2 linked regions of the Kluyveromyces lactis genome follow. The protein of the gene in region 1 purifies or fractionates together with the protein of each later gene. This does not show direct contact. Links are inferred from orthologs where the notes say so. Each region holds a gene or a part of one and is shown in the gene's direction. Other genes may lie near its edges.

Region 1 (16,017 bases):
CCAGGAAGTATGAAAAGAAATTCTATTCACATCATTCTGACATACCGATAATAATGTTGATAATCTTAGCAGAATCCATCTTGAAGTTGTTGTTTGGTGCTGGTGGCCCCGTTTTGTTTATACGGGCAAGGTTTATTAGATGGTTAAACTCTTTGCCATTTCATTATTTTTATAGTTTGTTTTTTTATTTTTCATTTTTCCCTTTCAGAATTTCCGCTGTTTTGCAATAGGGTCTTGAGATATGCCAATGCTGAAGACCCTCATCCAATAGTGCCAGTAATCACTAAAGAATGATAGTGGTAAATATGTGTATCTGTAACTTCACGTCGAAACCGTTCCATGTTTTGGTCAAGTTGATTTTTATTTCAACTAATCGATTACTATTATTATGACTGTAAAAGGTATCAATAGGGAAAATGTATATAAAAGTAGATACAGTACTTTTCTCTAGGCCTTTAAAGCTTTTTTAACGATGGTTTCCATTTCATCCAGATCATCGGTTGGGACTTTAGTAATTTCGATATCACCAAAGTACTTTTGTATAGCCGATAGTACTTCGAACGATTTCTTGTCGTGAATGAATGAAATAGCCACACCGGTACGGCCAAATCTACCGGTACGACCGATTCTATGAACATAGGTTGAAGGGTCTGCTTGTCCATTAGGTAGTGTAGGGAGATCGTAATTGACGACCATGGAAACGGATGGTATGTCGATACCACGAGCTAAAACGTTTGTTGTGATCAAGACCTTGGATCTACCCTCTCTGAAGTCATCGATCAATCTATCTCTATCTTGACTTTGTAAGTCACCATGCAAGATTGATACCTGGTGGCCCTCCTTTTTAAGTTTTGCATATAGCAAGTTGGCAGTTTGCTTTGTTTTCACGAAAATAATGGAAGAACCAATGGTTAATAGACCATAAAGTTCAGATAATATTGTGTATTTGTGTTCTTCGTTGTCACAGTCCATGAACAATTGTTTGATGGCACTAACGTTGACCTCATTCTTTTGTAATTCTAAAGAAACTGCAGTTGGGATGATCTTCTTGGCATATTGACGTACCCCGTCATCAAAAGTGGCAGAGAACAACACTAATTGACATGTCTTGGGTAAAAATTTCTTCACACGGATACATTGATCACCTAGACCTTGTTTGTCTAACATATTATCTGCTTCATCCAACACGAAGACTTTGATTGATCCCAAGTTTAACATTTTTCTACGAATCAAATCGAGAACTGTACCAGGTGTACCGACAACTATGTTTGCAGTTATCGGCTTATTTCTTTCGAATGAATCCGGAACCACTAATTGTGAAGAAGTCTTAGTAAATTTACCCATTTCTTGGATAACTTCTAAAGTTTGTCTAGCCAATTCTCTCGCTGGTGATAGACAGATGGCCTGTGTTGAATTGACATTTGGATCTACACGAGTCAACATTGTCAATGAAAATGCTGCCGTCTTACCCGTACCAGATTGTGATTGTGCAATCATGTTATGTGGAGGATCTCTAATCAATAATGGTAAAGCTTTCTCTTGAATCTTAGATGGCTTTTGGAACTTCATTGCATACAACCCTTTCAAAAGCTCCTCAGATAGACCAAGCTCTTCAAAAGACTTTACACTATACAATGGTGAGTTTGCATCTGCCTGCAAATCGGCAAGATTAACCTTCACTTCGTATTCAGAGTTAATAACCTTGTTTGCTGGTTCTTCAGCTTTAGTCTCTTTAGCATCTTCCTTCTCAACCTTAGTTTCAGATGTTGTGTCATTGTCCTCAGATGCCTTTTTTGCAGGTTCTTTGATGTTCAAACGAGCCATCAAATCACTGGCTTCTTTGCTTAGCTGTGCCATCTTGAAGTGATTTTTTGGTTTCACCGATGGGTATGCAGTGTCACAAATTAGCAAAGACAACTTCAATAGCTTACCTCTGCTATTCTATGTCTTTAATACTTCTGTAGTTTTCAATTTCTGCAGCTTTGTAAATTTTAAACCAACGAAAGATGGAGGAAATATAGTTACCCTACCTGGTGAATAATACTAGTTACAATCGAACTAAACGAATAAATATTTATATACTGTTAATATGTGATGTAATAACTGCACTTAAGGCAGTACTGTGCAAGATATGGTCATAAATTTAGCTTGGTACGCAGTTGAAGGGATAGCATTAAAAAAAAAAAAAAAAAAATATATATATATATATGTTCATTAGAATGAGAAAGTTTTCCGTAATTGTAATTTCCAATTGATCATGACTGGATTCTGTTTGCACTGACATTGTCAGGTGTCCAATCTAAACCTAGTCTTTGGTACACTTGCAGTTGGCAATGGGACCAGACCATTGACTTTTCGTCTTTTGTTAAAGACACTTTCGTAGGTACTTCGACTAATGGCACAGGAGCTTGTTGTTGTTGCTGTTGCAAAGCCTGTTGCTGTTCAAGTTCCAATTGTTCCTCGATCTTGATTTGAGAGTTTCTTAGTAGTGCCCTTCTGAGCAGCGAATTCTTAGACTTCTTCGGTATTATTGATGGAGGTGGCATATTAGGTTTCTTTACAGTATTTTGCTGCTGAAGAATCATGTTTTGTTGGAGAGCTTGTTGTTTCAGTTGATCTAACTTCCATTTTTTGTACTCAGAACAAGCCTTCTTGAAATCAAATCTACATTGTGCCTCAACTACAATGTTAAGTAAGTAGTTCTCTATAATGTTTCTCCATTCAGGCTTCGATAGTTGCATGACTGGTTCGTGATGGCCTATTAGCTCTTCGTGTCTTTTCCTAGCTGAATTGACTGTATATTTGGCACTGGTTAGCTTAAACTCGTAGTCAAGATTAGCTTCGATATAAAGATCAGAACTTACCAACGTCGATATGATGAATTCATCTGGGGAATTCAGTGGTAATAACTGGAACCTGAACTCAGGAATAGATGGTTCCGTACCATTGTTACCCTGCAGTTGATTGAATGCTATGGTAGGAAGTTTCCCGTTCCATTCGGGCCTCAAGGACTCTATTATGAGTAACGACCTTATATCATTAATATCCCAATCTAAAAGTTCTCTCTTAGTAAAGTTCGGCCTTCCGTTGCTCATCAAATTTTGAGGATTCATCAAAATATCTGGGCTGTACATGTCGTAGAATATTGTTGGTAAAGCTTGCTCTAGTGTAAGTGTCAAAGGTTTCGAGTCCTGTTGATCTATCACAGATGACGCATCAGTAAGTTGCGTAGAAATTGTATTGAAAGAGGGTGACGAGAAAATCGAGGAACCTGTCCCTGATGACATCGTCAGCCCAGTAATAATGGACGCCGCATCCGATCCATAATCTTGTCTTGAAGATGATGCATTACTGCGGTATGAATGTAATGACCTGGCGCCACCAGTTGATCCTGAACGTTTCTGTAATAGCCGTCTCTTAATCTCATCACGAGCTCTATTGGCAAACTCTGGAGGGGCATTGACAAAATCCTTCTTTCCATTGTTACTAAGCATGGGTTGATCCTGTGGTAGACTATGCGAACTGCTACTCTTACCTTCTGGTATCGTAGCTAGGTCATTGGTTTTCCTTTTTGCGAGTACCCCAGGTAATAGATTTGTGGCCGATGTGGGCGGAGGTGAGACAAACATCTTTGTAGGAGAATATTTGTGTATATCTCGATGCCGTTTCGATTTAGTGCAAATGAATTTTTACGGCCGGTTTTTGATTCACTTTTTTGTTCCTCTTGTAAATTGTTTTCGTTAAATATGTGGCTCTGTTAACCAGCCAGAGTTTCGACCAACCTGGTAAGCCACTTTATGGGATTTTGGTGCTTTTATCAGAAAAAATATACGATAAAGGAGATCGGTTTCGAGCTTGTTCTTACTTTTTCTCTTTTTAAACGTCTGATAATCTCCGTCTCTTTGAAAGTGTTCTTTTTAAAGGAAAAATGGATATATCTAGAAAATTGAAAAATTCTGAGCCCGGAAAAAATTTGTGTCTGTATTCTACGTGGATAATCGGAAGAAAGACCGACGCACAAATGGTGATTTGAAAAAAGGTTGCTGTTTGAAGTGATACCTAACACAGGTAATACGATGACAGTTTGATACAGAACAATATATGGTAGGAATTTGGTATGTTGTATTCTTAAGTAAATTTTTGGGAATCATACGTATGGCTTGGTTAAAAGAGGGAGCCAAGTATAATATTATGCATACTTATATATATGTCAGAAGTGAAATCCACTCTGTATAGTGTGAATGGGAAAAAACCCGAGGCTGGAAACGGCGGAGAATAAACAATACACAGTGAAATACGGTCAATAAAAACGGCAGATATGTCGGGACAAAGAGCGTACGAACTTCAATTGTATGGCAATAGGCCTAGGGGGACATCTCCAGTTGTATTTTTACTTTGGGTTTGTTGCCGAACATGAATAGTTAACGAACGAATTTACTTACATAACACTTGAGACGTGAGTTTGGCATACGCACTCTACCGGGGATACTACATGAATTGAAGCCAGGGATTGCTCTGGAAACAACCTGCTGGATATTCTTCCGAGCTCTGACTATAGCTTTTGAGTGATACCCTCAGCTCATCATCCAACTGCGGATTATGCCATGTTCTGCCTTTTCTGTACGCAACATTTTTCCAGCTTCGGTAAAACTATTGGTCAATTCGCACTGGTCGGTAAATACCTTGCTTCCTTTTTTTTTTTTTTTTTTGGAGACATTCCTTAGGGAGAAAATATTATTCCAAATGAACTTTTTCAGATGTGGGGAGACATCCTTTTGCACTGAAAGGGTGTAGGAAACTGAGATATTTTTCCGGAAGACTACGTGAAAAGCTCCGGTGGCCCAGATTTTTTTTTATTGTATTTTCTTTTTGGTTGTGTTGTTCAACGAATTCGTCTACGTAAGAATAGGGTTGATATCCTTTGTGGACCGCATATGCAATAATTTAAGCATCTGTACACCGCAATGAGTTTTGGCCAGAACATTGTTCCGGGCCCGTTGTGCCCAACGATTCCTTGAATCTTGGGCATTACAAGGAGCCACGTTACAAATTTTTCCGCATGTCTCCCACTTTACTACGAAAAAAGTTGCTTCGGTCGGCCCCATAGATGCGAAGGTCGAGAATAAGATATGATGGTAGGGGAAGTGGGTCTATATTCAAGGTAAAGATTCCCAAAAATTATGAAGGGTTTATCCGGACGACATTTTTCCGAACGTGTTAACAGTTTTTTGGAGAAAACAGAGAGCCCCGGGCGTGATCAGGTGTGATGTGCTCCGGGCTGCTTATGTTTTTTGTCACATGACTGACAGGAATTATTTACCAGATAGAAACCGGAAATCTGTCAGCCAACTGCATTTAGCCTTTTCTACTACTCGTTGCATATCAAATGTGCATCAGCTGTAAACGAATGTGGTGTTTTGGTATGTCATGACACTTGCAACTACCTGACACAGCCATACCGACTCAAATCGGCGTGCTCATTCGTAATATTGTGTTTCTCTTGACATATGGCAAGTTACGAATTACTATGTTTTGGTTCCAATGGGAATGGCCAATTGGGTGTAGGACACGATGAGGACTTGATGCTGCCTCAATTGAGCTTTCAAAGTGATGGTGTTGGTATTAAAAAAGTGTCATGTGGGGGCAACCATTCGCTACTATTATTAGAAGATGGGTCGTTGTATTGGTGTGGCGATAACTCTTCTGGTCAATGCGCTTCCAGTGACATTAAAATAAGTCTCGAATGGATCCCTATTCCAGGGAAATTTCTCGATATTGCATGTGGTTGGGAAGTTACTATAGTTATTGATGAGGATGGCTGGGTTAAAACCCGTGGAAGGGGTGATAAAGGCGAATTAGGGGTACCTAGGTTGAAACACAGTACAGAATGGATTGATCTGTTCCGATGTGAAGATCCAAAAGGCTCCCGATGTTATGCAACTTTCCAGCATTGCGTAGTGGTTGTTCCGGAGAAGATATACGGATGGGGCAATAATAGGAAGCTACAAGTGTGTGACGACTCAGCCTTGAAAATCATTGAGGAACCAAAGGTGATTTATGAGGGGGATACGTCTGATATCGAGATGGCTTTAGGAAAGGACTTTACCTGTGTACTTTCCAGAACTGAAAATAAATTAATTATAAAAGGGTCATTAGCAAAAGAACTTCCCGAATTGATATCACAGTTGTCGCATGATTTCGGATCAATTGCCAAGATTGACTCTATGTGGTCCTCGTTACACATTCTTACTGGTGAACGAAAGCTTATATCCATTGGACGAGGTTCTCATGGCCAGTTTTTGGAAGAACCTCTGCCTTCAGAAACTCTGGATTTTGTTACTGGTAGTGAGCATGGGGTAGTAACTACTGCTGACATGAAAGTATATTGTTGGGGCTGGGGAGAGCACGGTAATTGTGGGTCTTTATTCAAGACAGAGACAAATCCGATCAATGACAAGAGTAACGTTATCAGCCCCCTTAATATGATAGGAAAATACGAAAAAGTTGTTAGCATCTTCGGAGGATGTGCGACCACATGGTTAGTGTTGGTTACGTGAGCACCGATTATTTTCTCTTAGCAAAGAGAAGAACGCTCTCTAATGTATATATGCATCTATGTAACAAAATGTTAAGAAGTACCTTTCCCATATTCATGTTGAAAATATAAAATATACAACCATGGCAATTAATGAAAATACCAGGCGGCTCACATGGAAAATATGTATAGACTTCTTGATTATTGATGTCTAGAGACTCGTATCACCCAAACAACTAGAAATCAAAGTAAAAATCACACTTTCCTATTCGAAAACAACAGAGAAAGATAAATCAATACGATGATTAGTAGCCCAGTTTCTTTAAAAGTCCCTTGCAAGAACCCAGATAATCACTTATCCAAGTTCTTACTGATCTTTTTAGAAGAAAAATAATAAACGATACAACTGTTAATAACGAGTTATCATATTGTAAGTATGTTGTGTGCGATGAACTTTCAGATACTTTTCGTTTTTTTTATTTTAAAACGTTCAATTTTTCTTTTTATACATAAGTCCTTCACAAGAAATAGGGCCTTAGTAACTGTAAATGGTTTATTTACTGCAATTAACTGGGTATTGCTCGTAATATTAGAGCACCTATTATAACTATCGCAAATCAGGAATCTCTTGTACTGTTTTATTGTTATGCTATCTTGCTATATCCGTGAACAATAGTAACCCGCGTATCGTTACACGAATAAATTAAGTCCGGGTAATAGTACAACTGTTGATAATCCTCGCCATAATCAGATATGTGGTCCGGGTAATATAATAAAACGATCAAAATGACGAAAGCTCAGAGTAGAGCGTATCGAGACCAGAGTGGCAACAGCTGTCACTTCTTCAGTAACAAGCAAGCTCTAACCCCCGATAGTTACAGAAACTGGAATATTCTCAACAACATAGAAAAGAACATTGGCATTTAAAGATCAGAGCTACACCAATTGTGCATCTACCTGTGCCCCGGTTCTTTATTTACCACTCACTAATATTGTTACCTCTCTTTGTTTCCACTTCTGCACAGGTTCTACTGAGTGTTTTTTCTTGTTTTCCTTTTATCAAACGGTTTTTAAGACTTTGTTTTTTCTTTGAAAGAACTAAATAAATCTTATATTGAAATTAAAACATTAAACATTAAAAGACATAGACTTCGGCAACTAAGGAAGCTTTACAGCCTCATCAGACGACTAGTTATTACTGTACTGACTGTGCTTTTTTTATTTGATATAAGAGGAGAATTTAATATAATCGAGATACTAAACCGAAAACATATTAAGAAATAAGAACTGGTCATTGGGCATATTTTGAGAGTTGTAAGATTCTAAACTGATATTGATATTTAGAAAAGCTGGAAATAACAACGAATAGAAGTTTAAACAGGAATCAACGAATAACAGCAGTGAAAAAAATTGAAACTATTATCAACACATTATAATTGAATTGGTGCAAATGAATTATCCGCCTCCCTTGTCAGGATTCCAGAAACCTGCTGGGCAAGCGGTGCCTCAGATGGTGGGTACGCCGCAAGCTGTTACTCAGCAGCTTCACCAGCATCCGCCAGGTTTGATGGGAAATCAAGGAAACCAACATCAGCCGGCCCAACTAAACAATGTCCTTCCTATGATGATGAACCAGGTTCAGAATGTGATAACTGGCGGTGCAGGGGGACCACAGCAAGCTGTGGGTCCTCCTAATGTTGGAACACCTAATGCAGCCCAGGCTGCGTTAGTGGCTCAGCAATTGTCCAATGCTAATAATCCGTTATGCCATCCACATTTAGCGGACCCCTCGTTGTTGAATTCACCAATTTGGAAGTTACAGCTTCAATTGGCTGCAGTTTCCAGACAGTCTTTGGGTCAATCGAATGTGTATGCTAGACAAAACGCCATGAAGAAGTTCTTAAATAATCAAAATCAGTTGGGACTGTCTACTAATGGCCAAGATGGCGTTCAGTCACAACAGCAGCAGGGCCAGCAACAACAACCAAGTCAATCTGGTCAGCAACAAGGTCAGCAACCTTTAGGTAATGACGCATCCATGTCTTTAGTCGAGCACACTAAACAACATCTTATGGAGATGGCCTCATCCGGTAATGAAGCTACTGCATCTGCTGTTAATGTCAATTCTGATCTAAACTCTACAGGGTTCTCAACTCCGAATACTCCAAAAGCAGAGCTTCATCCAAATACACCTTCTCTACTTCTGCAACACAAGAAGCTGTCTCAATATAATATCGACGAAGACGATGAAATTGAACATCGCATGGTAGCTCCAACGAACTCTAAACATGATGATCAATTATGGCACGCGTTAGACCTTTCCAACTTGGCCCTTTTCAATCTTAACGAAAAACTGTTCCATTACGAATTTTTGACACGTTTATATTTAAATGGTAATAGCCTTACTTCATTACCCTCTTCCATCAAAAAACTCAGAAATCTAAGAGTGTTAGACTTGTCTCATAATAGGTTGACAGAACTACCAAAAGAGTTAGGTATGTGCTATCAGTTGAAATATTTATATTTCTTTGACAATATGATCACAACAATCCCCTGGGAATTTGGTAATTTGTTTAACTTGCAGTTTTTGGGTTTGGAGGGCAATCCTCTTGATAAACAACTCGTGAAAATTATAGCTGAAAAGTCTGTCACTGGATTAATCTTTTACCTCAGAGATAATGCGCCTGAAATCCCATATGCCAAGGATAGAAAATTTATTGAAATATCAGCTGATGGCGAGCCAACTAACGAATACGAGTCATTACAAGAGAATACAAATCACATGAACAATACTTTATTGAAGAATAGCTTCACATTGTTATCTTACAATACGTTGTGTCATCATTATGCTACTCCAAAGATGTACCGTTTCACTCCATCTTGGGCGTTAAGCTGGGATTACAGAAGAGAAAAGTTGAAAGAACAGTTACTAGATTTTGACACAGATGTTATATGTTTGCAAGAAGTTGAAACTTTAACATATGAGGAATATTGGGTTCCTCTTATGGAAAAATATAACTATAGTTGCTTGTTCCACGCTAAGACCAGAGCCAAGACAATGCACGCCAAGGATTCCAAAAAGGTCGATGGTTGTGCTATTTTCTACAAGAAGGATCAATTCCAATTGGTCTTCCAAGATTCAATTGATTTTAGTTCTGCTTGGAGAAGCCATAAAAAATTCCATCGTACAGAAGATTATTTGAATCGTGCTATGAATAAGGACAATGTTGCGCTAATCGCAGAACTAAAGCATTTGAATACAAACGAAAATGTGTGGGTGGTCACTACTCATTTACATTGGGATCCACAATTTAATGATGTTAAAACTTTCCAAGTTGGCGTGATGCTGGACTATTTAGAGACTTTAATCAAACAGCACCACCATGTAAACAATAACAATGACATAAAGAAGATTCCTATGGTCATCTGTGGTGATTTTAACTCCCAATTAGACTCTGCTGTTGTAGAATTATTCAACAGTGGTCACGTCACGGCAAACCATAAAGATATTGATCAAAGAGATTTCGGTTATATGTCACAGAAGAATTTCTCGCATAATTTGTCGCTCAGATCAAGTTACGGCGCCATTGGTGAACTACCATTCACAAATATGACACCCTCCTTCACCGACGTCATCGATTATATCTGGTATTCCTCTCAATCACTACGTGTTCGCGGATTACTAGGGAAGATCGACGAGGAGTATGCATCCAAGTTTATTGGGTTCCCTAACGATAAGTTCCCAAGTGACCACATCCCTCTTGTCACAAGATTTGAAATTTCAAGGGGTAACGCCACCCAAACATCCAGCAGGAAAGTGTAATTGTACTAATTTTATTTACAATCATGTTTCACTTCTTTTTGTTCCCTTTATTGCTGGCTTTATCAAGATATCTATACCAGTTATTGCCACATTCACTTTCATCCTGCTCTTGTAATTGTAAATTTCATTTAACGTTATCAATAGAAGATACATCAGACATCTTGTGTCCTTTCTCAATTGATACAACAAAACCATATGTGCCGGTAAAATCCACCAAAGAAATGATATTCTAAGAAGTGCCTTTTTTTTTTAGGATGTTAAAACCGGTTTATCCCATCATTTCAACTAATACTTCATCATTTATAACGTTAGTCTTTATTTTCTTCTGTATATTAATGTTTTAAAGTCTATTCCAAGTATAACTGACAGGCTTTCTCACTTTTTCTTTTCCTGTCTCTGGACGGATTAAGTGATTTTTTTGTAAATTCCTTATCATATTTTTGGAAACTAAACAGGAATTCCTTCAGAAAATTGTTGTTTTATGGGAAAACATAATGATGCAAGCTACAAAATTACTGATGAAGGGATTTTAATTAGTACTTGGTCAATATATACATTGGCTGGTCTGTATTTTGAATAAATAGACTCAAGGGGAAAATTAATACACCAAATATTTCATCGAATTATGGAACTAGAAGAAAATGACGAAACTCCAATAACGGGAACTGCATTAAATGATCCTATTTCCCAAATACAAACCAAGGACCTTTCCAAAGAATCTACATACATCAAGCTTACTGATACTAATTATCTTGCATTTTTCCTTATCGGTATTGCATTACTTTGGCCGTGGAACTCATTCTTAAGTGCGTCATTATATTTCCAGCATGATGTATTTCAAGACACGTCGGTGTATGCAAGGATTTACATCAGTACCATGATGACAGTTAGTACGATATCATCGGTACTGTCTAACATAATTTTATCCAAAATTCAACATCATTACACTGAAAGAATTGTTAGTGGATTGTTCTTCGAAATTATTGTATTTACTTCATTATGTGGTGTGGTACTATTCCATCGTTGGTTATCCCACTTACTGTCATTCATCATGATTATGTTTCTAGTGCTTGTCAGTTCCGTTGCAACTGCACTCTCTCAAACCGGTGTCATGGCTATGGCTAACGTTTTCGGACCAGAATACAATCATGCAGTGATGGTGGGACAAGCCGTCGCAGGGGTACTACCGTCGCTAGTGCTCTTCATGGTCTCGATCTTCAATCAAAAACAGGAACAAACAGCGACAGGTATCAATCTATATTTCTTATCCACTAGTGTCATGTCGTTTGCATCCATCGTGGCATATAAAAAAAGTGATATACCTATCATTGGAGGAGATATGGCTCAGCGGACAGCTGATGAGCCTAAGGTTTACGTCCCATTCAAAGTGCTTTTCCTGAAATTAAGGTACCTTGTGCTCTCTATATTTACCATCTTCTGCGTTACGTTAATTTTCCCAGTATTTGCATCAAACACGTACGTGGTAAGATTCCCGTTAAGGAATTCTGAATTCATTCCATTCATATTCATGCTTTGGAACATTGGCGATTTAGTTGGAAGAATCATCGCAGAACATACTTTCAATTCCAAAATGCTAACTCCACGTAAGATATTCATCTACTCTCAGCTACGTATCCTAATGGTTGCGGTGTTTTTCCTATTCAACGTAAGAAACATTAGAAAGAATTCACATCTTGGTGTGTTTCTCGATCTATCCTACAGTTTCTGGCAATTCATGTTTGGATTGACCAACGGACTCTTGGCGAGCTGTAGTTTCATGAACGTCGGCAGATCATTAGATACAGAAGACGAAAGAAAAGCCGCAGGAGGCATTACCAATGTGTTTTTGTCAATCGGTCTAGCGTCTGGCAGTGTTATCAGTTACTTATTTGCATATATCATTTCACAGATGTAATATACTATAATATTCACTGTTAAAGAGAGAAATTTAGTGAAAGTCTATCTACTATATATTAGAACTATCGGCACTCCTATTATCCTTAGTTCTAACTACTTCGTGTCACATTGCAAGACCCTGTTGCCATGCAGGTCACATGACTAGCTCCTTGCCTTGTATATGATGTTTTTCACCTTTTTTTTCTTGAAAAAAACCGAAAAACTGAACACGTCGATATTATATAAAGTTAACGAAGTGTTTTTTTTGATTAACATGAACTGAAGTAAATATCAGTTCGTGAATGTTGCAAAAATTCGTTCATTATTTTGATCTTGTTTAGTTTGAAAGGCCCGATAAGACGAATTGACCTACAGGAAATGTCAGCATCATTATCTGGAGACGAGTTGCAGAGCAGCTTGAGACACAGAGGCAAAGATGTTGTTGAGGAAGTTGAAGTTTTGCCTGAAGCTGAAGATCTTTCAAAGCAGAAGCATGTCAACGAAAGTCCATTGTTGAAACTGGAGTCAATTTTGATGCCAATTATCTTTACAGGTCTTGCCTTTTTCATCAGAATGTACAAGATCGGCGCTAATGACCATGTTGTTTGGGATGAGGCACATTTCGGTAAGTTTGGATCTTACTATTTAAGACACGAATTCTATCATGATGTGCATCCACCACTGGGTAAGATGTTGGTCGGTTTTTCCGGTTACTTGGCCGGTTACAACGGTTCATGGGATTTCCCGTCTGGTGAGCAATACCCAGAGTACATTGATTTTGTCAAGATGAGATTATTCAATGCTCTGTTTTCTGCATTATGTGTTCCAGTTGCTTATTTCACTGCTAAGTCAATTGGCTTCTCGTTACCAACCGTTTGGTTGTTTACTACCTTAGTTTTATTTGAAAACTCTTACACCACGCTAGGCAGATTTATTCTATTAGATTCGATGCTTTTGTTCTTCACTGTATTGTCCATGTTTTGTTTCGTGAAGTTCCACAACGTTAGATCTAAACCGTTCACTAAAAAGTGGTGGAAATGGTTATTCTACACTGGGTTCTCTCTTGGTTGTACCATCTCTGTTAAGATGGTCGGTCTGTTGATCATTACTATGGTGGGTATCTACACAGTGGTTGATCTATGGAACATGTTGGCAGATACTAAGATGTCAAAAAAGGTATACGCTGCTCACTGGGCTTCCAGATTTGTGTTTTTAATCTTGGTTCCATTTGCCGTATTTTTAGCATGTTTCAAGATCCATTTCGATCTTTTGTCCCATTCTGGTACTGGTGATGCTAATATGCCATCCTTGTTCCAAGCAAACTTGATTGGTTCCGATGTTGGTGAAGGGCCACGTGACGTCGCTTTAGGTTCATCTGAAATTACTATCAAGAACCAGGCCCTAGGAGGTGGTCTATTGCACTCTCATATCCAGACCTATCCAGAAGGTTCTCAGCAACAACAAGTTACCACATATGGCCACAAAGATAGTAATAACGTCTGGACGTTTGACAGACAAAGATTCAGCGCACCATATGACAAAAACGAAACAGAAACTGAGTTTGTCACCGATGGTGCTAGATACCGTTTAGTTCATCTCAACACAGGAAGAAATTTACACACCCATCCTCATAGAGCCCCTGTTCAAGCCAATGCTTGGGAAGTTTCCGGTTACGGTGATGCTAAGGTTGGTGATCCAAAGGATGACTGGATCATCGAAATCGTTGACCAAAAGGGTCCTGAAGACGAAACAAAATTACATCCATTGACTTCTTCTTTCAGATTGAAAAATGCGGAAATGGGTTGCTACCTATCTCAAACAGGAAACACTTTGCCACAATGGGGTTTTAGACAAAATGAAGTCGCTTGTGTTAAGAATCCTTTCAAGAGAGACAAGAGAACTTGGTGGAATATTGAAACGAACGTCAACGAAAAATTACCTCCAAGACCTGAAAACTTCAAATACCCAAAGACTAGTTTCATCAAAGATTTTATTCATCTGAACTTGGCTATGATGGCTACCAACAACGCATTGGTTCCAAATGCTGAAAAGTTGGACAAATTAGCATCTTCCGCTTGGCAATGGCCAACTCTAAATGTCGGTATCAGACTTTGTGGATGGGGTGAACAGAACATCAAATATTTCTTAATTGGTTCACCAGCTTCTACCTGGCCATCTACTATCGCCGTTCTAGCATTTATGGTTTTGGTTGCCGTGTACTTGATTAGATGGCAACGTCAATACTCTGACCTAACAAATCCAGAAGATATTAATTTATTCTTGATGGGTGGTATCTATCCATTGTTGGCTTGGGGCTTGCACTTTGTTCCATTTATTATCATGAGTAGAGTTACTTACGTCCACCATTACTTGCCAGCATTATACTTCGCTTTATTAGTGTTGGCATACTTGTTCGAAATCTCGATGAAGAAATGGAACAAATCTAAGTGCGGAAAGGTAATGAGATACACCATTTATGGCTCATACATGGCTATCGTAATTTATGGCTTCTACTACTTTGCCCCAATTTCTTTCGGTATGTCCGGTCCAAGCACCGATTACGAATACCTAAACTGGTTATCAACCTGGACTATCTCAGATTGATCACATCTTCATAACGAAACATCCAGAAAATCATTAAATTATGGTTAATATAGGAAAAGCTTTTATTTCAAGCACTTTCACTATCCACGTAAAGTTATATATTTTATAAAATAAAATAGTTTATTAAATTAGATCATGATCACAAAAATTAATGCTGTCGTCATTCTGATGACCCCAAAATCAAAAAGTGATAACAATTCACTCGCACTGGATAGCAAAGTTGGAGGTAATTACTTTCTTAGTATAAAAGTCTTGTTTGGTGATTGTCAAACAATTTAGCTTGCTGTCATTTTTTTGTGACATGTAACATAGTGGGGTGAAAAGCTATCATTTCACAAAGCTCATGAAAGACTTCTACTATTCATCAATATTAACCGCGCTTGGTTGGGTTCGTCTCCGACACATTGGCCAGGGACCAACTAGGCTTTGAGATGAATCATGATAACGATGTTACTGCTCTGGATTATTTAAGGAAAATAATCTATAAATATGTTGAAGTTGATGACAACACGGCAATATTGGTTCTTAATTACAAAGAAGAAACGTCTCCTTTGCAATCCCGATACAGAAATTATACATCGGGGTTACTCAAAACTTTATTATCCAATACGCGCTCTGGTAGTGCACAACGGCAATTTGGGATAACCTTTTCTTCATTCATTTCAGGTGTTTTAGTGTCTCTTGTTTTTTGCATAATCCAAGTCATACTCTTCAGCATATTGCGAAATAGGTTAACTCACATATACCAGCCAAACACAAGTTTGTATCCAAATAAAAAAAATGACACAGTTGCAAGTGGGAATACAGAACAGAATAAAAGATCACTAGCGAAACCATTGGGTAACAAACCGTGGTCATGGATCAAACCGACTTGGACAACATCTATTGAAGAATGTCGAGAATCAGGATTGGATGCTTATTTTTTCTTACGTTTATTGAAAACACTATCTATGTTCTTTCTTATATTGTCGATAGTCATCATCCCAATATTAATTCCCATTCATTACATTTCAGGGTATAAAACTGCTGATATCCAGAGTTATATATCACAAATGGAGCTTAACGATAAATTAACGAATGATGAAATGTTGAATCACTTACCATATGGCCTGACAGGATTGGATAAGATTTCAATGTCAAATATATCACCCGCTCACAG
Region 2 (18,101 bases), on another chromosome or scaffold:
GGAGTTACACCAGTATTAGCAACTGGGGGTGTGGTTAAAGCCGTTGGTTGGTTGGCATTTGGATCTGATAGGAAAAATATGAAACTGGTTGAAAAAGTTCTTGACTGATTATTAGTATCATTAGTAATATCTTGCGCAGATTCTGGTTGCTGTCTATTTTCATTAGTATTTGAATTTTCCGTAACACGAGAACCATCCGTTTGATTGGAGGCTGTTGTGCCAGTTGTCATGCTTTCTGCTGAACTAGTATTCAATTGATTTTCTCTAATTGTGTTCACTACAGCTGGTTCAGGAGAACGTTCATAAAGCAGTCTTCTGATGGATTCAAAAGTAGATTGTTGAGTAGCGTCTGGTCCATTGTTTCCTCTTGAGGACGTATCATCGCTGCTGTGAAGAGCCTGTAATTCCTCTTCGCTTAAGATAGGTGCCCTGCAGATCGGACAGCTGTTATGTTCTGTTGTCCATTTGTAAAGACACTCTCTTCCAAATACATGACCACAAGGAAGTACCGTGGCTGAATGTCCATAAGTAGGAGTGTCTTCTTGACCTCCTTCCTGTTCTCCTGTGTGGTGTGCACTTGATTCAGGATCAGGCAGTTCATTATCTACACGTTGATCTGATTCGTTCTCTGGTAGGCCTTCTTGATGTGGTAGCGGTGCTGCTTCTTCATTACGCTGTCTTTTAGAATTCGGTGACTCGGCACTACCAATTTCCTCCCGACCTCTCTTCGATGAAGTACTGGCAAAATCCTTGGGGTCATTAATTAAATCATCGTAACAAATAGCACAGGTTTTTTCGTCCAGCGTATCAACTTTCTGTACTTCAAGTTTCTCAAATGCTTCTCTCGTAAGTCCACTGTGTCTTCTTTGATCCCTGGTTAGTGTCTGGAAAATATATTCGCTGGCTAACGCTATCACTTCGTTTAGCCTCCCCGAAGAAGTATCACTCGGGACATCTGCAAATCTCAAAATCATAGGAGTGAATGCTGTGTTAGCAGCATCGTTGCCAGCTTGCTCATCATTCCCTGATAAACTGGCATAATTTATGGCTATTGTAAAATGGCTTCTGGATGGGCCGCTTGCACCGTTCTCACTTGATTCGCTACCCCCACGGTCAGGAGCACTATCACGGCTTTGATCATGGTTATCAGACATAACAACTGCCGTGTCGTTTGACCCTTTGAGCCCCACTGACAAATCAATTTTATTTCTCAGTCCAAAAAGGTTATCACTAATTCGAAGTGCTACACATTTTTATCATTTTTTTAAATACTCAGAAATCAACTGAAGTTCCATATTGGAAAAATGCCGGAAATCTCTCTGATTGTGGTTGGGAACACCAGACGTTGAGAACGTCTTTTCATGTGACACACCTATTCCCAGCAAAGGAAAGAATATAAGAGGAGTACTTGGGTATTAGTAATGGTTCGCTGTAGACTGTAGAAAATATATATATTAACACTCAACTTACATACTCACGGGGTTACAGCAATGTAAATTTTATGTGCTTATAGTGGTACAGAAAAACCTATAATTCTTAAAAGAGATACATAGAACTGTAAATATTGGCTGGACAAGGGGCTGATTGAGTTTAATTAAGATAGTGTCCGTCTCTTGGTTGGGATTTTTGTTCACTCAAACAAATTATCGGAATCAATTGATCAATATAAAATGCTCGACCTGTCGAAATAGTTCGAGGGTAAGTTGAACAATATTCTTGATAGAGAGTATGCTTATGTGAGAAATTGAATTAACTAGGGTGTTAAAAGAAATTCTGATTATAGGCTTTCTGTTCCTATGCAAGTGGAACGGAGATCGAGCAACGCATCAATTTTTGGGCAGTGAAAGGGTTTCTATTGGCAATAGAATCTTTGATCTGACAAAGAACCGAAAATGTGCTAAATTAAGACAATGAAATAGACGAAGAGAGTAAGACCAAATGTGAGATGATGTGAAACGAAGTTCCTCTGATAGAAGTCTGCATCGTGTGTGTTTGTGTGTATTTTTCTTTTTTTTTCTTTTGCTTTTATTAAGTAACAGTCTTCCTCAGCTCAGAACAAGGATGGGATGGAAACTGCACTTAGAAGTAGACAAATTAGCGCAGCCAAGTGTGGTACTGGCAAGCTGGAGGCAGCGCCTTCTTTTTTTGAAGAGGAACCGGTTGAGGTTGAACCCGAATTACCGGAGGTTGAACTGCCGGAGCCTGAAGATCCTGTACCAGTCGAAACAGTACCATTAGCATTGTTGGTAACTGTGAAGATATTACCTCCAGTAGATAAACTTGCGGCAGTAGACCAAGTGCTGGAGTAACCTGGAGCTGCAACAGCACTTGGCACTGAATCCCTGATGACCTCGATTTTTTCGTCGCCGCTAGTGTAAGAAGCTTGTGCTAGCGAGATTTCGAGCTCTTCCAAATCGTAAACAACGTAAGCACTGGTTAGGAAGGCATCACCTAAAGTAATTTCGTTATCAGATTGAGGGAGTATTCCCAAGACACATTGGGAAGAACTGCTCGTTGTAACAATGTAATCACTTAAGGGGGATATGATATGGAAGCCACCAAAGTCGAAGACAAGATCATAATCACTGCCAGAATCACAATCCACAAAATAGTATCCTGAACTGGAAGAGTACGTAGCACTAACAGAACTTGCAATGGCAGCAGCTAAACTACTTGGGAAGTAACAGAATGTGGCACCAGTGTCTAGCAATGCAGGGTACTTAGTCTGTGTCACAGTCTCGTTACCATAACTGCTCGTCACACCGATACCTTGTAGAGTGATCGATAATCTAATCTGTTCAGTGTAGCCTATGCTTCTGAGAGCGTTGACCATTGGAACGGTGTACAACGTACCTGTATATTTGCTGTGATCGACGGCACCGAATAAGATAGAACCAGAATCCGCATCTAAGTCATTCAAGAAAACAGAATATGCATTCTTTTCGATGACGCCGTTTCTTTGCAACACGATAGGGAAGTTATCGTATTGATAGCGGTTGTAGGTGCTTAACTGACCGGAATAAGTGGATTCAGAACCTGTCAATCCAATACCTAAGACACCGAATTGGGAATCTGTGTAGTTCGAGACAGCAAAGCTGAGCCCCGTGACGTTGACATCGTCCAAGTGAATTTCATCTACACCCCAATCACCATCAGCAAAGGTACCATCCGCGTAAGAGATATAGAATCTAGTGTCATTTGATTGCCAAGAAGACGACTTTGACGTGTCGAAAGTACCAAACTCAGAACAATCCAAAGTGGCCAGGCTTGATGGGACAGATCTTATAGAAGTAGCAGCCACTGTACCCGATGTGAGTGCAGTAGGAACTGTTTGCGTACCAGCACTACCAGTGGCACTAGCGATACCAGTGTAAGTGTAATCGGTGGCTACATCAGTACCGAAAACACTCAGTAAAGACGACAACAGGGCAGTATAATCCTGTCTTTTTTTCTTCGAAGAAGACCTAGAAGCGGAGCAGAACGGATTGCCCGATCCAGGCACCCACAAATCAGAAGAACCAGTATCGATTAAAACACCAACCTTTTGTGCAGGAGTACCAATCTCTAAATCAACAGAGTAAAACGTGTTCTGGTTATCGATTTCAACGTCGACGTAACCATCTGCACGCTTCTTCAAATGGCCAACGCGTCTCTTCGATAATGACGCCTCAGACGCGTCATTCCCTCTCAACTTGTCAAAAGACATGAAGACATGCTTCTTATTCGCCTCACCGACCTGGGAAACGTCACGTTTCGTAATATACCCAGCAGAACCAAGGGACGCCAACAGCGCCCCCAAACAAACATCACTTAACTTCATTGCTGGTGTTTGCTATATATGCGCCTTGGATAATAAAAGGGGGAATTAGTAACCAGTACCAAGAAATGAACTTTAATTATTAAAGAAAAAAAGACGTCAGCCAAAGTATAACGTCTTCTGTAAAATGAAAAGACCCTTTATATATATACGCTAAGACAATAGCCGCTGTTTTCTTTCCAATTCAATGAGTCAGTTACCTCAAACTTTTAGGAGAGAAGGTACGTGATGTGAAATGCAAGATGGGTAGAAACATTTTCCAGTGTACGTTTAATCGTGGGAAAAAAACCTTTATAATAAGGCAAGTTTCATAGAACTTCCTTTTTTTTTTTTTTTTTTTTCAACGTTTCAAAGTTCCCACATCGCCAACTTTCGACACGGGAAACAAGCACAAGCCTTCATAGAGCGGGGCATTTCGTCAACGATTAAATATAGAAATGAAACGAGGCAAGAAAAAAAAAGAACTGAGGACACACCGTGAATGCAGATGGGAGCGTAACGGGCCAAGCCCCATCGATGACGAGTATGTTTTTTACTCTGTAGAATGTAGAGCAATGTGTAGTTGTGTAGTTGTGTTGGCTACGTTCTCCTCAGGGTCTGTCCTGTGAAGTATATCTGGGTAACTAGGTTACGGACGTGGTTTATTTTGAGTTGTCATTTGAAGCGTTTTGGCAATTTGGTGACCACTAAGTTATCTGGCTCTCCAGTAATACCCGTAATACGCAGTAACTGGGTGAAGAAATTTTGACAACTTTGTTGCCTGAGCACTCCATCGCCGAAAGGGTGATTTGCTGCAATTTTTTTCCTATATCTTATTGAAGAACTGAAAATTATTCAATTTGGTTCAATTCTGTGACGTGATTGATTGATTGACGGTCTTTGCACGCACGCAAGCACGCATGCATGCAAACACACACACACATGGGAAATTAAAGATCGAAGATGAGTAGGATTGTTAAGGAGTATATGGGGTTGCAGAAACGGTTGCAGACCCCTGAATTCTCATGGATCAGTTTTCTTGCACCGGTAGATGATGATGACTTATCCGAATGGGTATGTCGATTCCAAGGCCCGTCAGAATCGCCGTTTGAAGGGTTTGAGTTGGGTTTGAACATTACCATAGATCTGGAAAAGTATCCGATCAGTGGCGGTCCTCGGGTTCTGTTTGAGCCACGTACCGTGGCTCACCCTAACGTGAAGTGGGACACGGGCGAGATTTGCCTAGATCTTTTGAAAGATGCATGGACCCCGATATATACCTTGCTAGATGTTGTTGGAGCTATAAGAGATTTGTTGGCAGACCCTGGTTTGGACTCGCCACTAGATCTAGACATTGCCCAGATATACGATGCTGACTATGAAGCCTACGTGCAGATTGTTAGGTATAGACTTGAGGAGGCGCGGTTGGCACGCGTTTGAGTACGACTTTTACGTAGAAATACACAGCAACATGGCTGGATTTTTCATTTTTCCTTGCAGTGAAATTGAATAGGAATGATTGAAAAAGGATTAAATGATGGAAATGATGCAACTTATATTCCTTTGTACATGTTTTATACACAAATGTATGTTACTTTGACTTAGTACTTTCTTTTTGCCTAGCTTCCCTATTGTTCGCGGGGTGGAGACACTTGATTATCGAAAGAGAAATGGCTAGAAAGATTACATGGAAAGACGTTGGGGTTAAGGACGGGTTCCCATTAATTTCACCTGGGTTCGCTACAGAATCGGGGAATCAGTTACTATTCAGTAGTGGTTGTGTTGGTACAGATCCTGTTACCAATGAACTACCTGAGGATTTGGAACAACAGGCTAGAAATTCCATGATCAATTTGAAGAAAGTGCTTGAAGTATCTGGATCTTCTGTTGATTCGGTCTTGAAAATCTTGCTGTTCGTTTCCGATGGTAGTTACGCTGGTATCGTTAACAAAGTTTTCAAAGAATTCTTCCCTAATCAACCTGCTAGATCGTGCATTGTCGTTGCATTCCCCAACAATAAATTGAAAGTCGAATTAGAATGTATCGCTGAGATTCCATCCAAGAAAAGATGGTTCAAGTTGTGAAGGCGGGGTTTAGATTTTCCGGGCTTTGCGTTCCAAAAACTGTGGTGGAAAAGCCTATTATATATATGCCTCTATAGCATGTTAATTATACTATATGTTAACGAATATATGTTTAAAGAACAGACTTTGCTGGGAAATTTACGAATGTTCTTAATCCAATCTATGCCATAATAACTGAAAAGCAAATTCAATTACCATGGCACAGGGTGAAAGTACAAGGTGAACGGCGTGTAGTGTCCGAATCAAGTAAGATGTCGAATAAGGTTGCTGCGATGTGAAGAGCATTGAATTGTAATAATTAGGAAGAAAAAAATAGAAGGGCACCGGATGAGACTTGAGCCTGCAGCTTGTTTATGTGTATATTTGTGGTATCCGATTGATAAGAATTAATGAGTTTTCCAAAGTTAAGACCAGCTTTCCTCTAAAACGGTGAATTGAATGATAGGTTTAATGTATGCAGCGATGGGGTAGGATCAGTCCATTCCCAAAATAAAGTGCATTATTTCAGCTTCCACTGCTGTAGATACTCTTGAACCACTTCTTCGTATTGATCTACCGACTTCTCGTCGGAAAGTTCATCTGTCTGTTTTGGTGGGAACTTCAAGGTCATCTTCTTATCCTGTGGTTGATCCAACTGATAAGGTTTCAAACTTGCAGATACTTTATTAGGTACATCGTTCCATTCAGGGTAGAACTCCATCCCCATTGCACTACTGGACCAAAGAGCGCTTTGTAACAACTTGTTTGGTATCCGTGGATTATAACGCCACGTCCCGTTCACGCCCCCAGATAAGATCCCTCCGGTCCCGTTGGGACCGGCCATGAATGGATGTTCTGGTTCGGATGCGAAAGCTGCCTTAGACTTTAGTTTACCTCCCCCATTCTTCTCCCTTTCCACTTCTAGTTCCTTCACTTTCGCTTGGAATAGCGGGTTATCCCTCAGCGGAGACACAATAGGCCTGTATCCGCTGAACAAAATGTCAGCCGTGAGTTCTTGTGGCGCAAGAAACCTTGTCGTTGGCACGCGAGGAAGCTGTCTATACATTTGTGTGGCTTTGGACTTTGGAAATGGCATTTTCCTATGGTTGTATTATACTTTTTCGATGCTTTGATGCTTTCAACTAGATAGTAAAACCTGTTTAGATTCTTATTTGTCCGACAGTACGTTATCAGACCTTGCTTTTAAATAGTCTGACAAGAAAACACGATATTTCCGATAAACGATTTAATCCCCTGTTTCCTCTGAAAATATTAATCCACCGAGCTTTAGGAAAATCACGTAATTTCACATACTTAAATACTTAAAGCAACTAAGTAATCAATTTCGAGACGATAATCCAAGCGTTAAACCCTTGAACTATATATACTCATTTTATATATGTCAGATCAAAGGATGATGAAACCGCATATGTCATACGTTGCTCACCGAGTCAATCCGACTCGTTTTCACACTATGTCACTATGTGTCTAAATAAGACTTCACACACCCCTGGTTTTTCTTGTGTAAGACTCAAACATTCTGGGGGAAATAGCGGGCAAACCTTCGGGTACCACGCGTGTTTCTAGCTCAGTTTATGGGTGAGAATTGAGATTAGCCAAATTCTGAAAAACTAAGTAAAGAAATGCAAAAACCGGCTAACGGTATATGCAGTGTTAGCTGGTGCTCTCGGCGATATCGGATCAAGGATTGGTATCTCGGGGCGGGTGTGTGGGTGTATTACAAATGTTTAAAGGAATGTGATATTCACGTGAATATCACGTTACTGAACTTTTTTGGAGGAACCCATCTTTTTTTTTTTTTTGAAAAACACATTTACAGATATCAAATGTTATAATACTATTATAGTTTATGTTCTAACATGAGATGAGGTGGGATGAGAGATCGAATGAAATGAAGCTGGGTGTACTTTTAGAGGATTGAGCTGGACTTAACTGAGTCAGTGAAGAGGAACGAACGGAAGAGCTGCTACTGCTTACCCTGGTATCGGTCGTTTGTTTTGTTTTAAGACTCACTCTTCTGGACTATAGAGAAAACCCTTTTCTCTAGCGCCGTGTAATTTGCATACGCATTCCAATTTACCATGCTACAGGAAAAGAGTTCTGTTCAGCGATTATTTTTGGCCGATTCGGATGTTGATGAGAGCGTACTGTTAGAAAAACTCGTCATTGCTCTTTTTACCACGGTTCCTGGACAAGCGGTTGTCACACAATTGATTAATGATGCCAAACGAACAAATGACGTTGATGGGGTTGAGTGTCTGATACGAATGAACGATCCCTACTGGGTGGCACTTTTCGGTACTTGGGCAACTGATAAGCATATTTTGTCATTATTTCTAGGGTGGGTTTTAAGGAATGAAACGGATCATATCGATTTAGAGAGGTATTCAGATCAGTCGTTTAAAATGGCTATGAGATTTCTTCTCACGAATCAGGACCCCAAATTCACTGCACCACTATGGGATACATCCAACATTTTACTAGATTATTTGCATAATGCTAAGCCTTTGATAGAAAGTGTTCTTAAGAAACTTGACGGCTCGCAGTTTTTGCAATGTCTAATGAAATACAACCGATTGTATGAATTTAATGGTTCTTACCAATGGTTTACCCCTCCGCAGTCCACATCACATGCAGAATCTCCAACTACAATTTTAGAACGTAATTCTACTTTTTTATCTACTCTAGGGAATTTTGGTAATGATATGGTTCGTGCTCTCTCTCAGTTGAAAACTGGCGATATACGGCTGAATTCACTAGAATCATACGGAAAGAATTCTGGGCATAATAATCCACCGTTGTCAAAACAAGATGATCACAATCCGTTAAACTTGAATGGCAAATCTGATCGATTTAATTTGTTTTTTAAGCTTGGGTTACACAAAGAGCCTCATCCACTCCTTGCAGAGCAATTTAACTCACTTTGCTTATTTGCGGATCCCATGACTCAACCTCCTCCAAACGATTCTCATATAATTTCATTGGATTTATTGCATGACCTGTATCTAGGTTCTTTGACTGCTTATATTGTTAAACTGATACCCAATTACCAGAAAGTCTGGAAAATTCATTTGAGCGCAAATTTGGAAACTATTACATTGGCTATTTTGCAGATGTTGCAGATTTGGGATTATAGATCTCTAGACAATTTGAAAGATATCCAAGCAAGAAGCCCTGATGCATACCCTAAATACATGACATCGTGGATCCCATACGATCTTTCTCCGCCCGAAATGGAAATTCTTTATATGATTGCAGGATTATCTTTCTATTCGATGCACAAGATGCACTCTGATAAGCCGCCGAGGTTGAACCCATTCTTACCTATGATGCTTCGAGCATGGAGAGGTTTAAGTTCAGCATTAGTGTTAGGTTTGCAAATAGATAGGTTTGAGGAAATGCAGATGCTATATGGTACTCCAGTAATTGTTAGTGCAGTCATTCGTGGAGCTTCTGCGTTGCGCTCAATTATCGCAACGATTCTCAACGGTCATGTGGATGAGAAGTTGCACGATTTTAAACATCAACCTTTTGGTGGGTTCATGTCTCCTCATGGAAGGAAATTATGCAACGGGGCTCTTTACACATATGAAATGTATTATTTCGCAGCACTCCTACCATCAGGTATGGATTATGACGAAATTGTTGAATTATTGACTGATATACAAAAAGGAGATAGAATTGATGAAGATGTCAGATATATGTTTGATTATGAGTACTTTGATTACAATGATGCAGATACAAGTAAGCTAACAGATGGTAAGCTTATGTTTACATCTACTAAAAATGAACTCGAACAGAAAAATAGATTCAGAATGCTTAGGGGACTCTACAAGCGCTGCCTTTGCAAGTTTAGTGATGAAGACGACAATGATGACGATGATGACGATGACGATGATGATGACTATAATGGTGAAAAAAGCGTTGTTGGATTGGATGAGAATGGGCAGATCAATGAAGCTGAAACCCCTCAAACGTTTAGCGAAAGTAGCAATGCTGTTGCTTTCACATCTTTAATGACGCACAGAGACTCTCAAAATGATTTCGTTTCTCATCTTACAACAGGTTATGATAAAAACGGTGATGATTGGAGGGATATACCTCGTGGATTAAATCTATATTATATGGATGATTACCAATTTTTGTCTAAGTTGGACAAAGTTTCTCTCTTTGAGTTGTTGAGACGATTACCAGATAGAAACGTAACGTTTTCTCAAGCCTGTACGGTATTGAGAAGTATTGCAACATGTGTGAAGCTAGAACAAGAACAAATTCTACTGAAATTAATTACGGCCACTTCTGCAGAGGTAGATTTGAAAGTGCTTCCTTTTTCTACTGATGAAGTTATTACGGCAATTTTTAATGATGATGGAGGAATTATAAAGCCTTTTCCATTTTCAGGCTGCAATGATAGCTTAGGGTGGAAAATCTTCGATGAGTTGATGATGAGCCATGGGCACAGAAGGCTCTTAATCTATCACTTGACACATAGGTCGTACACTTTCTCGTCCATCCATTACGTGTATGAGTTGTTATTCGGTCTAAGAGGCAATCCTGCCAGGAGTTATGATTTAGAATCGACTAAGAACAAACAATTGGGGATTCTTAGCTGGACACCCACTGGAGAATTCGAAAGGGTTGCTGCAATTGAATTCTCTAGACAAGGAGTTATTGAACTTTCTGCAATTGAGAAAAAAATGTTGCTACAAGAATTTTTCGTGGGTGTGTCTTCAGGACTGCTAGGTGAGTATAATGATGCGGGTTTTGAAGCTTTTTCAATTAAAAATCCTTCAAAAGTGTATGTAGATGATTATGGTGAGGAGTTCTTCTCTGCAACATCGCGTAAGGCTGAGATGTCTGGGAAAGTAAAGATGGTGTGTTTCATTTTAGAAGAAGTATTAAACGATAAGGAATTCGAGTTTGTTCCACATGAAGATTACGTTTACGAATTAAAAAGGTTTTTGATGCAATGGTCGACGTTTTCTGCTGAAGCATGTTCCATGTATGCTCTTTTGAAATCGAAGGCTTTAGGGAAAGTTCTTGATCTAGGGACCGAGGGGTTAGATGATCGGCCAAATACTGACCCTGATGATCAGCTTTTGCCAGTAGATTTTGATAAATTAAAACTAAGTGACATAGATGACAGATGGGATACGGAGACTGATACAAGCATTGAGAATGGTGATAAGACGTCCATTATGTCTGAAAGGTTCTCCAGAATGCTACCAGTTCAATCTCTTGATGGACAGCCTGTTGACAAAGTTTTCCGTCACCTTCTTCAGAAATATCCTTTGACTGAAGGAACTCCTATTCACGGAAGGATAACTTTGGAGTACCACGATCATATTCTGCCACTGGACATCAGAACGCATCAATCATTGCATAGAGAATTTTTGGCGGTCTTTGATATTGATTACTTAGACATATTAGAAGCTCGGCAGCAAGAAGCAGAGGAAGAGTGTGATGAAATGTCTATTTAGAATACTGATCTCGTAGTATTTCTTTCAGAGCGGCTAGTTTGTCTTTGATACCCAGAATATAGTACATAATTTCATTTTGCATGTAGGAATTTTGAAGATTATCAAGAATAAGTAGCGCGTTCTCCAATTGAAGTAGTTGAGTTTCTAACTTAAAAGAGTCCGACGGTGTCTCTTCTAGCATCAACTGCGATAACTTTTCCGATATCGGAGGAAACCGAAGTTTATTTTTCATCATCTTTTTGAATAATTCAGTGCGCTGTAGGTTATCCATTCTTTTGTAATAGGCGATTACCTTGGAAGCAAACTGTTCTTGTTCTTTCTTGGTAAGAGTTTTATTGATTTCCAGTTCTTTGAAAAGAGATTTATTTTCTTTCTTGATATTAGAGAATAGGGTTTCAGGAGTGATATTCGCTTTTGAAATAATGTGTGCCAAGTAGTGATACTTTGTTGGTTCTAGAGTAACGTCTGAATCTTCTTCATCTGAGTTTTCAGCTGAATCTTGTGCATTATTTTCATTATCATTATTTGAATTATTGAGCTGTTGAGAGCACCACGTTTGAAATAGTTCATCCCGTTTGTCATTAGAAGTAATCAAATAATAGCGTGGATCATGCATTATCCGCTTTGCTTGGATCGACCAAGTTGAGTAAGGATCTAGTTGAATTTCATTAAGTAATTGAATGAACTTAGATTCTATTTCCGTGTTATTCAACGACGGTAGCGTATCCTCTTCTTTAACATCTATAGAAGATGGATCATTCTTTTCTTCTACCTCTGATTCTTCACCAGAATCATCTGATGAGGAAGAGTAACCAGAAACTAAAATATTACTCGATTCGGATTTATCTTCCGTGTCCACGTTAGAATTTGTTACTTGTGGTCTCTCCTCAGTGATATCGTTTTGTTCTTTGTCGTTACTGTCGAGTTTTGCTTGTAAAACATCTCTGATCTCTCCATAAACGTCACGGTCATTTCGAAGATTGAACCCTCGTGCTACACCTATAAGCAATGCAAGAAGAGATGTATCAACTTTATCCAACAAAGCTTTACTCTCATCATCCGCCAGTTTGAATTGGGACACATTAGATTCATCGTTGTGAAAGAATTTGGAACCATCTTTACAAATCACTAGGTTCCAGTAGTTTCGTAGAGGTAAACAGAACACTGGCACTCTCAATTCCTTCATACCAGCTTGCTGGCTTCCGAACTCTTTTGGTTTTTCCTTTGTGGATACCTTGGACCTCGTATTGAAGTAGTAGAAATTCCCCGAAGGATCTTTAAATCGCTTCCATTCGCTCATACTTGATTCAGATAGGAACAATGGGCTCTCCGCCAATTTAGTTAAAACTTTAAAACTTTACTTTCACAGACAGGTGCAGCAATGCAAATAACATCTCTGAGACAGGTCTTCCACCTCGTACACTGGGTTGTTCTCACTAAGAAAATCCATTGAAGAGCCGTTAAACAAAGGTTCGTTCTTTTATTTTTTTTTTAATGTCGACCTTTAAAATGAAATAAAATACAATCAAAGTTAGAAGAAATCCAGTGGCAAACCTTTGAAACTAGAGATTGAACAGCAATTGGATTCAACCAGATAGTTAAACTTGTAGCTAAAGTTCATCGAAAGTAGCAGCAAGAGCATTTCTGTGAGCGTACAGGTAATTGGTCTGTGAGAATATAAAGAACAACTAAGAAGTCAGAACAGATGGGGTCCAGAAGATACGATTCGAGAACAACCATTTTCTCGCCAGAGGGAAGATTATACCAGGTTGAATACGCTTTAGAATCCATTTCACATGCTGGTACTGCGATTGGTATCATGACTGAACAAGGTATTGTATTAGCAGCTGAAAGAAAAGTGACATCGAAACTATTAGAACAAGATACTTCAAGTGAGAAATTGTACAAGTTGAACGATAATATTACGGTTGCAGTAGCTGGGTTAACTGCAGATGCTGAGATTCTAATAAATACAGCCAGAGTACAGGCTCAGAGCTATTTGAAGACGTATAATGAGGAAATACCTGTTGAAATGTTAGTAAGAAGGTTATCCGATTTGAAGCAAGGGTATACTCAGCATGGTGGTTTGAGACCATTTGGTGTTTCGTTCATTTATGCTGGTTATGATGACAGATACGGGTACCAGTTGTATACCTCGAACCCATCTGGTAACTATTCCGGTTGGAAAGCCATCTCTGTTGGTGCCAACACACAAGCTGCTCAAACTTTACTACAAATGGATTATAAAGACGATATCACTCTGGATGGGGCCATCGAACTAGCCCTAAAGACTCTATCTAAGACTACAGATTCAAGTGTGTTGACCCACGAAAGATTAGAATTCGCTACCATCAGCAAGGATGCCGAGGGGAAGATATACCAGAAGATCTATAAACCAACAGAGATCGCTACACTATTGGAAAAAACCGAAATAGTAAAGAAGGATGATGATTAACGATAACGACAAGTCATCCAACACATGTGTTCAACTACTGGACATTAACTGCCTTTATCCTCACTGCCATATATAAGTACGTATGTGTTTTAGAATGTAATCATCATTCAATCAGTCTACTGTCGAAAACGTCTTTACCTTTACAATTAATTAAAGAATTGAAGCTTTTTGTTGTTAAAATACTATTCGCGCATGCAATGTTGAGAAAAAGGATAAAACAAATTAAAGAAAACTCGTAGCTAGTAACTGTTTGGGCTTAATCTCATTACTCATTTAGTATAACCACGGTCTAATAAGCAAATGCTATGAAGTATGTCTGATGGTAGCGTTATATCCGCCGTTTAAACCGCAGAAACTTTAATTTTACTAACACTTATAACATCAAAAGAACATTCTTCATTACAGGAGATGTGCCTGTTGGGTATCAGGTGCCCGATTTCCCATCCTTATATTGGCCCATGAACAATGGTAAGTTCAGCGTCGCATATCTCTACTACCTCCCCGATATATGGAGGTTTACGATCTTCTGGACCATGATTCTATTTGCAATAGTATACGGAACTACAGGTGCAATCGCATGGACTACACACAAGAAAATCTTATTCGGCTTTTGGATGATCCCATTGTATATAATGATAGGCATGGCGCAGGCGTTTGTCTCGGGAACTGTGGTGGGTATATTGATCGCGATCATATATAAGGCAGGGTTATTTGCAATGTCTACATGGATTCCCTTATGCTGTGCTGTGGTCCAAATTTTATTTAACGTGAGCACAAGTTACTCGATGACAAGTCCGATCATATGAGTGATGTATATATATTAGTCGCATTCGGTTATATAGTTAATTTTAACCGTGACCCATTCCCTTCCTGACCTACACAGTTCATCTTAGCTCATCTCGGCCCTTTCTTTGGAATAGGTTTTTCCGTGCGGTCGGTATAAAAATGAACAAGGCTTATAAAAAGAACCAATCCAGAAACATGGAACAGGTAACTTAAGTAAACGAAACCTGTTAATATTGCTCTCGAGAAAACAGAGGATATAAGAGAATTGGAAGAAACCAGTTAGGATATCTTTTACGTCATACTTAGGGGACAAGGTAGATATCATCTAGATCCAGACTATATCCCATATCGTTTAATTTTATCAAATATTAAGGAATTGGAAGTATAAAAGATGCCATCAGTGGAAGAAAGTGTAGCTACAATTAAGTCAGAGTTGAAGTATTTGAAGGAGCAAGGTGCATTAGCAGAGTTAGCATATAAGGATATTGAATCGTTGTTACCAAGAGTAAGACCACAACCACCAGTAGCAGATACGATGGGTCAAAATAACGAGATTGTGGAAGCACTATATGCATTTCAACCACAACAGGATGGTGATTTAGCTTTGAAACCGGGAGATAAGATCGAGATCTTGGAAAAGTTAAGTCCTGAGTGGTACAAGGGCAAATGCAATGGTCAAGTCGGTGTGTTCCCAAGCAATTATGTGAAGTCAGTTGACACGAAAGATGTCGAAAAGAGAAGCTCTTCTGCAACTCCGGTTGCAAATCTGCCTCAATATGCGGCATATACTCCACCTGGACAGCAGATGCAAGTTCAGCCGCCAGTACAACAACAATCACCATTCCCACCACAGTTTACCGGTTATTACCAGCAACCAGTGCAACAACAGCCAATGCAACAATACCCTCAACAGCAGCCTCAAGAACAACCTCAAGAACAAAGCAGTCATCAAGGCTCCGCAGCATTTAAGAAGTTCGGAAGTAAATTGGGAAATGCTGCCATTTTTGGTGCCGGTGCCACCATTGGTTCTGATTTGGTGAACAGCATCTTTTAGAGATAGTTAATGCCATGTTTCTTACTAAGAAATTTTGATAAATTTACCTTACTAAGGCAGAAAATAGAGCTTTTTTAGCTCAGGCTTTCTATTTTGTCTTATTTTGCCAAGAAGCAAACACAAATCATTGTTTTATTCCGCCAATTACACTCGTTTATTCTTCTTCTTCGTTGCAAGCCTTTTTTTATTTCTCATAGATTTACCTGGCGGTTCATTTATGCTCATATGCTCGCATATGTAGAAATTAGCATTTGATGTTTGCAGTACCTACTTTTTCTACATAAATTTGCCATACATATGATGAATTCTGTTAATAACGTTTATCTTAGCTTCATTTGTTGAACCGTAATCGCCGAGGTCGTTACAATCACGGACCCAGATTGGTTTATAATTCTTGGGTAAATATTTGACCATAACCATTTTCAACGTGGCTACCTCCAAGTTGAGTAATGCAAGACTCTTCATCTGTTCATCGTGAGGGATTACTTCTTCCGATAGTGGCACATTCAATAATCTTTCAATTTCATTCAAAGACCTATTGATGGTGAACTTGGTGCCCTCCAAATCCTTAGCCCATTCAACACCTGAGCTTATTGAATGGCTCAAGAAATTCCGTAAAGCCCAAATAATCAAAAGCGCTGGAAGTAAGGACACAATAGAAAAGAGTAATTGTTGAGATTTTAAAAGCTTGTTGATACCATTCATAGCCATCGAACCGTCAACCTTCACCTTTTGCAATTGAATCAACAACGAACGAACCATATTGTCAAAAACAATGCTTTTCACAGGGTTCTCGATCTGATGTTCATAAATCTTCATAAAATCTTGTAAGTCACCGTCCATAATCTGTTTCGTTAAGGAATCAACATCTACATTAGTTCCCGGTGGAGAACGATCTCGGAGAAATTCGACAATCATTCGGATTAATGAGTTCAATTCCGATGTCAAGTTGTCCTTTGTTGTGACATATAATTCTCCTGAATCGAATCTAACGGTGTCCCAGATCTGAGTAATCGGTGTCCAGATCCAATTTTCCCAAAGACCTGACACAAACTCATATGAACCTTGAGACACAGTTGTCCATAGAGATTGTCCGTTTTGAACGAGTTTCTTCAAAAGCATAGGTCCGTAAATGGACAACACAGACAATTGAAACCATTGTCTCTGATACCAAGGGGGGATACGGACGTCTTCTGGTATGGTGAATTGTAGATGGGACACGGCATTCAAACGAGACATGATTTTATCCAAGGACACATCTTTCAAAGTCGATTCTGTGTCAGCTTTTTTACCGCCATCATTCTCATCATATGTCTTGTTTTCAAAACGGGACAATTCTTCACCTGTTGATACCAATAGGGAATCAATTTCCGAGGTTAGCTTTTTCGATACATCATCCAATTGGAAGTTTACGAGCCTTGTTGGTGTTGCTAAGATATCAGCGGCATTCACTAAGTCGTTTACTTTCAAAGTCTTGGCCGTAAACATAGTCCTTAGAGTCGATACTTGGAATCCATGCTTCCAAAATTGGAACGGTATCACAGTGTATTTCCACACTGATCCTCTGAGTTTAGAATAATAGTCCCTTGCCTGTACTAGAGCATGGTAATGATCCATCGATAGTTGCATGTCATAATAGAACTGCAAAATGTCCATATACTGCAAGATTATATCAAATAAATATTTGTCCGCGTTTGTAGCCTGAGACTCGTTTACACCATGTTCGAAACCAATGTCTGTAGAGACATTAGGCACTGTCACAATATCATCGTTAAGAGTCTCATGTCCTGCTACATCAATGTCCTTCATAGCAGTTGCGTCTCGTGTATCTTGTCCGTGAGATATCAATTGCGACCACTTTGTCTGTAATGTATCCCAATGCATGTCATGTCTCACATTCTTTTCGATGGCGGCAATCACTTGATCAGCTTCCTGTTTTAGTTCTATGACAAACTCGTTTAGCGGCAATGATAATGCCGATTGGGAAATTTCTTTGTCCCTACTCCAAAAAGCAAATTGCTCTTCGAGAGAGTTAGTGACTTGTTTTAGCCGCTGAGAAATCAACGAATCATTCAACATATTACTAACCCCGTTCTTATAGAAAAGATGGCCACAATTGAATCAGTAATTGGTCGCTCGCTTGTTGTTTCCAGTTATTTCCCCACCCTTCTCCCTTTTCTTGAGTAAAAGTATAAGAAGATATTCTGAAATTATAATCTATTGAACAACTATTGAATATTTCCTTTTCACTAATCCATTGTTCCTACGCGCGTTTATAAAACGAGACTGGGGCTTCAAAAAAAAAAAAAAAAAAAAAGAAGGATGCTGATGATGACATAAGAGCCGGAATACTTCAAGATAAGGAACAGTGTTAATATGAAATGGAAGGCACAATTTGACTTGCACCTTACTGGGTAATATTTGTCTTTGGCACTTATGTTTGCCG

What was found.
Region 2: the proteins of CCR4 (region 1) and CAF130 purify together in Saccharomyces cerevisiae (affinity purification with mass spectrometry; 6 studies listed by BioGRID, with this or other methods). This does not show direct contact. The link is inferred for Kluyveromyces lactis from reciprocal best matches to the Saccharomyces cerevisiae genes CCR4 and CAF130.

The regions. Positions count from the first base shown.
Region 1 is NC_006042.1:1,462,953-1,478,969, reverse strand, and holds CCR4 (CCR4-NOT core exoribonuclease subunit CCR4), read left to right. Parts: upstream 1-7,985; coding exon 7,986-10,358; downstream 10,359-16,017. Other genes in the region: ATP-dependent RNA helicase DBP5, read right to left, coding at 448-1,857; STD1 (Std1p), read right to left, coding at 2,256-3,629; ATS1 (Ats1p), read left to right, coding at 5,508-6,557; nucleoside transmembrane transporter FUN26, read left to right, coding at 10,984-12,273; dolichyl-phosphate-mannose-protein mannosyltransferase PMT2, read left to right, coding at 12,633-14,858; SPO75 (Spo75p), read left to right, coding at 15,290-16,017. UniProt on the Saccharomyces cerevisiae protein: Acts as a catalytic component of the CCR4-NOT core complex, which in the nucleus seems to be a general transcription factor, and in the cytoplasm the major mRNA deadenylase involved in mRNA turnover.
Region 2 is NC_006041.1:352,254-370,354, reverse strand, and holds CAF130 (CCR4-NOT core subunit CAF130), read left to right. Parts: upstream 1-7,961; coding exon 7,962-11,360; downstream 11,361-18,101. Other genes in the region: ubiquitin-protein ligase SAN1, read right to left, coding at 1-1,154; KLLA0_E04049g (pepsin-like aspartic protease), read right to left, coding at 2,051-3,820; PEX4 (E2 ubiquitin-protein ligase peroxin 4), read left to right, coding at 4,760-5,236; KLLA0_E04005g (RidA family protein), read left to right, coding at 5,467-5,880; SUE1 (Sue1p), read right to left, coding at 6,380-6,955; URN1 (Urn1p), read right to left, coding at 11,353-12,660; PRE9 (proteasome core particle subunit alpha 3), read left to right, coding at 13,066-13,815; MAY24 (May24p), read left to right, coding at 14,121-14,125, 14,204-14,621; KLLA0_E03873g (SH3 domain-containing protein), read left to right, coding at 14,993-15,655; NCA2 (Nca2p), read right to left, coding at 15,932-17,734. UniProt on the Saccharomyces cerevisiae protein: Acts as a component of the CCR4-NOT core complex, which in the nucleus seems to be a general transcription factor, and in the cytoplasm the major mRNA deadenylase involved in mRNA turnover.